Linked DNA regions of Danio rerio. The protein of the gene in region 1 purifies or fractionates together with the protein of each later gene. This does not show direct contact. Links are inferred from orthologs where the notes say so. Each region holds a gene or a part of one and is shown in the gene's direction. Other genes may lie near its edges.

Region 1 (4,200 bases):
TTCAACAAGATTGAATTGCTCCAAAATTTCTGTCCATATTGACATGAAAGCATTTCACGATTTGTAGACTGCACATCCATGATACAAATTTCCAGTTCCACCACATCCCAAAAGTGCCCTATTGGATTGAGGTGACTGTGAAGGCCATTTGAGTACAGTGAACTCATTGTCATGTTTAAGAAACCAGTCTGAGATGATTCGCACTTTATCACATGGCTTGTTATTCTGCTGGAAGTAGCCATCAGAAGATGGGTTCACTGTGGTCATAAAGGGATGGACATGGTCAGCAACAATACTAATAACAATACTAATGTGACCAAAGTGTGTTAAGAAAATACACCATTACACCACCACCACCAGCCTCAACCGTTGACACAAGGCAGGATGGATCCAAGCTTTCATTTTGTTGATGCCAAATTCTGACTATCTGAATGTCGCAGCAGAAATCGAGAGCCATCAGGCCATGAAATGTTTTTTCAATCTTCTATTGTCCAATTTTGGTGAGCCTTTGTGAATTGTAGCCTCAGTTTCCTTTTCTTAGCTGTCAGGAGTGGCACACGGTGTGGTCTTCTGCTGCTGTAGCCCATCTGCCACAAGGTTGGACGTGTTGTGCATTCAGAGATGCTCTTCTGCAGACCTCGGTTGTAACGAGTGGTTATTTGAGTTACTGTTGCCTTTCTATCAGCTGGAACCAGCCTAACCATTCTCCTCTGACCCCTGGCATCAACAAGGCATTTGCGCCCACAGAACTGCCGCTCAATGGATATTATCTCTTTTCGCACCATTCTCTGTAAACCCAGATTGTTGTGCGTGAAAATCCCAGTAGATCAGCAGTTTCTGAAATACTCAGACCAGCCGGTCTGGCACCAACAAACGTGCCATATACAGAGTCACTTAAATCACCTTTCTTTTCCTATAATGATGCTCGGTTTGAACTGCTGCAGATCGTCTTAACTGTGTCTACAAAATACAGGTGTACCTAATAAAGTGTATATACACACTGTATTACTACTGTGGCATTCATTAACAAAGTTATAAACAAGCTATACTATGTATAATACACTTGAATATAGTAGGCTAGGCTGTTTCACTGCCAAAACCCAAAAGTAACACATGACAGCTGTAATGGTCCAGCGTGATTCTAGTCATATTATCTAGTCAATAATTTGCACATTATAGAAATAATAATAATAACATTAACATTAAGCGACATTAACAAAGCAAATAAAAGAAATAAGTTAAAGTAGACCCGTCAAAACAGAAATCTAAGCTCCGCCTATTAGTGTTACCGCTATGATCGTGTGTTTCCTTTCTATTCATTTCGATTTCTGTGAGAGGAGCAGCGCATCGCCGCCGCATCTGAGCATCACAGTTACAGGTATGCGATTCATTCTCACTCTTTACGTATTGAAACCGTTCGCTTTGTTGACATTCGTGCAAGCATATTTACATAATTTCAGACGTACATAATTAGTCCTTGTTTTATTGCAGCGACAGGCCTGCTGAGCCATTACCGACGTGAAATGTGTTGCGTTGCGTACGCAGTAGCCTACATTTTCTGTATTTGTTTCAGGTTTATTCATTTACGTGTTTTATCTACTGCTATTTTCAGAAATGTGTAACCTGTACATAAAATAAGTCGTTTATTTATATTTAATGCGCGAACACAGTTAACCTAAAGTGAATGTGATTTATGGCATCTGATCATGCAGCTGTTGTTTTTCAGTCATCATGTCTTACGGAATGATGGACAGCAGCCACTCACAGTCACAGCCGAGAGATTTCAACAACCTCACGCAGACATGCAGCTCAAACATCCAGAAAATCACACAAAACAGTAAGTAGATATATTGCAGACACACTTTAAGTGATCGTTTAAATGAAATGCGTGCAATTACACTGCAAAAAATGCCTTTCTTGCTTAGATTTTTTGTCTTGTTTCTAGTCTAAATATCTAAAATTTATTATGTCAAGAAGCATTTTCTAGACAAGCTAACCATATTGTCTTGAGAAATAATATGCCAATATTAGGTGAGTTTTTCCTTAAAACAAGCAAAATAATCTGCCAATGGGGTAAGCAAATTAATCTTGTTTTTTCTTTTGACGTAAGATTATTTTGTTTACCCCATTGGCAGATTATTTTGCTTGTATTAAGGAAAAACTCACTTAATATTGGAATATTATTTCTCAATACAAGACAATATGCTTTGCTTGTCTAGAAAATTATTCTTAAATTAGGAATTTTTTAGCTATTTGGACTAGAAACATGACAAAAGATCTAAGTAAGAAAAGCATTTTTTTGCAGTGTAAACAGTTTACTGACCCTGAAGACACCTTTCTTCTTTTAGACAAGCACAAAAACAATGACACAAAGTAATTTTCTGGCTTGATTTTTTTTTCTACACATACACATCAATTTTAAAAAAATAATCCACATGACGACTCCATGGGTAAAGATGGTTTCTGTAGTGAAGGAATTAGTTTTTGTCAGAAAAATATCCACATTTAATGCTTTTCCAGTTTGCACATTCTCAAGGGAAGTAGCCTATGTATGATAAGCCTAACCCTTACTGTAAATTATTCCCAAAATCAGAGGGGATTAATATACTGATGTAGATTTGTATAACCCTAAATGTAAGCCTAAACTTAAACATAACTGTAAACGTATTCCTTAAATCTAATTGGCTGATTGGAAACACAGATATTGATCCAGAAACATGTTACTCGATGAAATAGTGTAAATCTTAAATTAGAATTTTGGCAGTTTTGGATATCCTGTACATTTGTATTATTATTTATATTAAAATTATCCATGTTTATGTCCTACTTCATATGTGATAGCTTGGCTCTTACTGTATGTCAATACAGATTTTTTTCCCCTTAGAGAGCATTGAATAACACGCTGTAGTGATATGGATTATTTTTATGGAAATCTTAAACTGGGGCAGCATCAAATCCTATAAAAAATATGGGAAGTTTTTTTTTTTTAATAACTCTGTGTTTGTCTGAAATAGAAAGGCATGTTGTACAGTACATCTAGGATGGCTTCAAGATGAGTAAATTATGAATTATGTTTTTCACTTGGCGAAGAGTTCCTTAAAGAAAAGATTGCATTATCTGTTAAATCTTTAACTATTTAGTTTGAATAGGTATTAATGGGCAGTTCATTGCGCTGTGGCGACCCCGTATTGTTAAAGGGACTAAGTGGAAAAGCAAGGCAGGGCAAGTTTATTTATATAGCACATTTCATACACAGAGGCAATTATAAGTGTTTTACATAAACAGGAATAAAAGAAACAAGAGTAAGAAAATAAAAACAAATAATAAGAATTATAAAAATACGAATAAAAATAAATAAAACAGATAAAAATGTGTTAAAATATGTTATAAGATAATGAAAAAGAAAAGAAAAGCATAATAGTGCGATCTGTCGACGCAGCACAGTGCTCATTCAGTAAGGGCACAGCTAAACAGATGTGTTTTCAGTCTTGATTTGAATGTGCCTAATGTTGGAGCACATCTGATCATTTCTGGAAGCTGATTCCAGCAGCGGGGGGCATAGTGGCTGAAGGCGGATTCACCCTGCTTTGACTGAGCTCTCGGAACTTCTAGTTTATATGATCCTAAAGATCTGAGTGATCTGTTAGGTTTGTATTCAGTGAGCATATATGAAATGTATTGAGGTCCTAGGCCATTTAGTGATTTATAGACCAGTAACAATACTTTAAAGTCTATTCTGAATGTAACTGGGAGCTAGTGTAGAGACCTGAGGACAGGTGTGATGTGCTCTGATTTTCTGGTTCTGATCAGAATCCTGGCTGCAACATTTTGGATGAGCTGCAACTGTCTCACTGTCTTTTTGGGAAGGCCAGTGAGGAGTCCATTACAGTAATCCACCCTGCTGCTGATAAAAGCATGAAGAAGTTACTTCACTGGAAACAAAGCATTCTGATTCTTGCAATGTTTTTGAGATGATAGTATGCTGATTTACTTACTGCTTTGACATGACTATTGAAACTCAGATCTGACTCCAGAGTCACACCAAGATTCTTGATCTTATTTTTTGTCGTTTGACCTTTAGTGCCAAGGTACGCATTCACCTTGAGAACCTCATCTCCGTTCCCAAACGCAATGACTTCAGTTTTCTCTTTGTTCAACTGAAGAAAGTTTTGGCACATCCAAGTGTTAATTGGAAAAGAA
Region 2 (3,661 bases), on another chromosome or scaffold:
TCTCTTGGTGTTGATAATGTTAACACTTTCAAAAGTGTTATTTTTAACACTTATAGTGGTTCCTATATAAACTCTGAGGGAGTGTTAATTTTAACTCTAAGGTAGTTAAATCTACTATCTAAAATTTGCAGTGTACTTTGAATATTCAGTCTGAAATCACATGTGATTATGACTTGAAGACAACATTAGCACTTTATTTGACTGAACAATGTTGTACTTCAGTAGTGATTGGCATTTAGAATTTGCTTACTTTTCTGAAATGTTATTATTAAGGAGAAAGTCAGAATGTGTGAATATTAAACCAACTTTACCTTAATTATATAACGTTGCTGTATTAATGAACTAGTAACTTAAAATAGAATAAATTGTGTAAATGAATGATTAATCAATACAAAACACATTATTGAATAAAGTGAACTTGCATTTTTAGGTTTGAACTGAAAGCAGCTCCCAGCAAGCAGGACTAAGTTTTTTGTTTACATGAATAACACATTTTTTGCATAAGGTTGATTAAAAGTAGTAAAATACAGAAATAAAAACGTACAGAATTTCTATTATTTAGTTTGCTAAAAATGTATTATGTAAATGATTTATGTTCAGTTGTTTAGTCAGCATGCAGAAAAAGGAGACGGGATCAGAGTCAAGTGATTTGATCACAAGCTGGTTTGCTGTTTCCTAGAATCATGACTGAATTCTAGACTATGGTTCAGCAAACTGTTTCCTCAAATGTGTTTCCCCCATTTCCGTCCAATGATTGATGTGCATTTGGTGTGATTAGCTTTTTAATGCTTAGACACTGGCTACAACCTTTAAATGTTAATATAAATACTATTTTAAAAACTATAATATTGTTGTGCTGTTTTTTCTGTGAATGAAAAAATGCCTTTTTAAGTAATAACTGAAACAGAAGTTACGATAGTATTTCCTTCCTTATTGTGATATATAGCCAAAAGATAACGGCTTCTGAATTGAGAGAAAAAAAAAGATGTATGGCAGGACTTGATTTTGTTCATCATAATTGATTATAGGTTACAATGGCAGATGATAATAATAATAATAAAAATTATAATAAAAACAATAATGCTGGTAATGTGCCCAAATTAATAATTAATTACACATTTTAAGAATTGGGAATATTGTAAATAATTTAACGAGGGGCTCACAATGTCTGTACAATTTTCAGCTTTCTTCAAAATATCTATATGTTTTTAAAGAGTATTTATAAAAAAAAATTACAGTATCTGAAAAGAGTAGCATTTTTGAAAGTTTTGTTTTCTGTCATGTTTGATGTACCTGGTTACAAATTTAAAATGAAAAACCAAATGGCTTACCATTTTGCAACAACATTTACATATAGTTGAAAATAATTAGCTCTCCTGTGAAATTTTGATTCTGTATTTATTGTAAGTCTTAATCATTTTAATTTGGCTAGATTGTGTATAGTTTTTTAAATGTACAAACATTGTTAAAGATAGTTTAAATAGCTCTATATGTGATGGTTTTCTAGGGAAACTAACTGTATTCGGGTTCAGAAATTGAATAATTACAATGAAAAAAGGCTTTTCTTACTTTGCTTTGTCTCGTTTAGTTCAAATATTTAAAAAAATGTAAGAGCAAGTTGTTTTGTTTTCACCTTCAGAATATTACATTTTTACTTTAAACAAGCTAAGTTATCTGCCTGTGGGGTAAGCAAAATAATCTTGTTTTCACTTTGAAATGTAGATATTTGGACTAATCCATTTTTTAAAAATAAATTCTATATAAATACAGTAATTAAATACATTTCTGTAGGACTTGGTCAACTATAATTCAGACTCACCATTGCGTATCTTGCGATTTGACTATTGTGAATGTGCACATTGCCATACTGATGCTGAAACGATTTGTTGTGTACAATTATATTGCAAAACAGCTAATAAGGACTGCCTTTTTGTCAAAGACAAAAGCAAATAGTTATATTAAAAGTAGATATATTAGTTACACCATTATTTAAGTGAAGTTTCACAAACTAATTTCAAGAGGAGCATGTGATATTATTGATCATGGCTGACTCTCATCTGTAATCATTAGTAAACCAATCGGATTATTCCAAACTCACTATAAATATCCTGTCTAGCCTCACTCCCTTATCTTCGTTTTTTGAAGAATCCCCCTCATCCACCCCATCTCCCACTTTTCTCCTTAACCAGGTGGAGCTCTTAAGAGCTACCTGATCTTTTACACCCTTACATGATCATTGACCAGACGGGATCCCTGGGCTCAATTATCTCATTTATCTACCGGGACAGCATGCCAAACCTGCTAATAGCGTCAAGCAATATCGAAGTGTGAACTCTTGAAACCATCTTCTCTCCTATTAACATCACTTGGGAAATATTTAATAGAATTAAAATTTTACTGAATAACTTGGTCTTCAACTGTATATATCTTGTCATTGCAATACCTATACTGGTTGAATTTGATACAAGTTCCTGAACAATACTTTTTTTCATACCAATTTAATAAAATTTGATTTAATAACATTACCTAAAACATTTTTTCAAAGCCAAACTCTCAATAGCACGAAGAAACAAAATGTAACCAAACCAAATAAACTAACTGCAATCAAAATGTAACCAAACCAAAGCTGAATCAGTCCAAATAAGGTCAATGATGTATGTTTTAATTTACTTTGACATGAGGGTGTTTTTAAATCTTCCAGTGTTCGATAAGGTTTATCAGTGGTGATGGCTATCCTGTTTGCCGTGGTGGCTCGAGGATCAACCGTTCTAGCTAAGCATGCGTGTTTCTCTGGCAACTTTCTGGAAGTGACTGAACAGATCCTGGCCAAAATCCCATCTGAAAACAACAAGCTCACATATTCTCACGGCAGGTACAACTGACATTTTGCTAATGCAGTGTTTCCCAACTCTGTTCCTAAAGGCACACCAACAGTACACATTTCTAACCTCTTCCTAATCAAACACACCTCAATCAACTCATCAGAACGTTAGGAGAGAAAACCTGAAATGAATAGGTCAGATAAGGGGGACATCCAAAATATGTACTGTTATTGTGTCTCCAGGAACAGGGTTGGGAAACACTTCTAATGTGCTGTGAATACTTTACCAGCGATTCTTTGTGCTGATTTAAAGTGTTTCTATTGTGTTTTCTCTCAGCTATCTTTTCCACTACATCTGCCATGAGCGGATTGTCTATCTGTGCATCACTGATGATGTGAGTATCCGTCACATGATCTCAGCTTCTCTCCAGCTCCATTCACACACTTAACCGTTTGTCTCTCTTTCAGGAGTTTGAGCGGTCCCGTGCGTTTGGCTTCCTCAATGAGGTAAAAAAGAGATTTCAGACCACATATGGCTCTCGAGCACAGACCGCACTGCCCTACGCCATGAACAGTGAGTTTTCCAGCACACTGGCTGCACAAATGGTACGTGCGTCTGCCATCTTTGTATGTGTTTTGTACACTTTCAATAGGGGTGCACCTATATGGAATTATTGACCGATACAGATAATCGATGACTCTTTAGAATCGGAGGCCGATATACTTTTTAAGATATTTTTATCCTTGCCATGATGACAGTAAATAATATTTTACCAAATAGTTTTGAAGATACTATTAAGCTTAAAGTGACATTTAAAGGCTTGATTAGGTTAATCAGGT

The links.
Region 2: the proteins of stx12l (region 1) and sybl1 purify together in Homo sapiens (affinity purification with mass spectrometry; 3 studies listed by BioGRID and IntAct, counting the BioPlex papers as one, with this or other methods). This does not show direct contact. The link is inferred for Danio rerio from reciprocal best matches to the Homo sapiens genes STX12 and VAMP7.

The regions. Positions count from the first base shown.
Region 1 is NC_133191.1:7,959,356-7,963,555, forward strand, and holds the start of stx12l (syntaxin-12), read left to right. Parts: upstream 1-1,281; 5' UTR 1,282-1,293; coding exon 1,294-1,378; intron 1,379-1,726; coding exon 1,727-1,837; intron 1,838-4,200. UniProt on the Homo sapiens protein: SNARE promoting fusion of transport vesicles with target membranes. Together with SNARE STX6, promotes movement of vesicles from endosomes to the cell membrane, and may therefore function in the endocytic recycling pathway.
Region 2 is NC_133189.1:9,605,795-9,609,455, reverse strand, and holds part of sybl1 (vesicle-associated membrane protein 7), read left to right. Parts: intron 1-2,701; 5' UTR 2,702-2,726; coding exon 2,727-2,872; intron 2,873-3,158; coding exon 3,159-3,216; intron 3,217-3,289; coding exon 3,290-3,427; intron 3,428-3,661. UniProt on the Homo sapiens protein: Involved in the targeting and/or fusion of transport vesicles to their target membrane during transport of proteins from the early endosome to the lysosome. Required for heterotypic fusion of late endosomes with lysosomes and homotypic lysosomal fusion.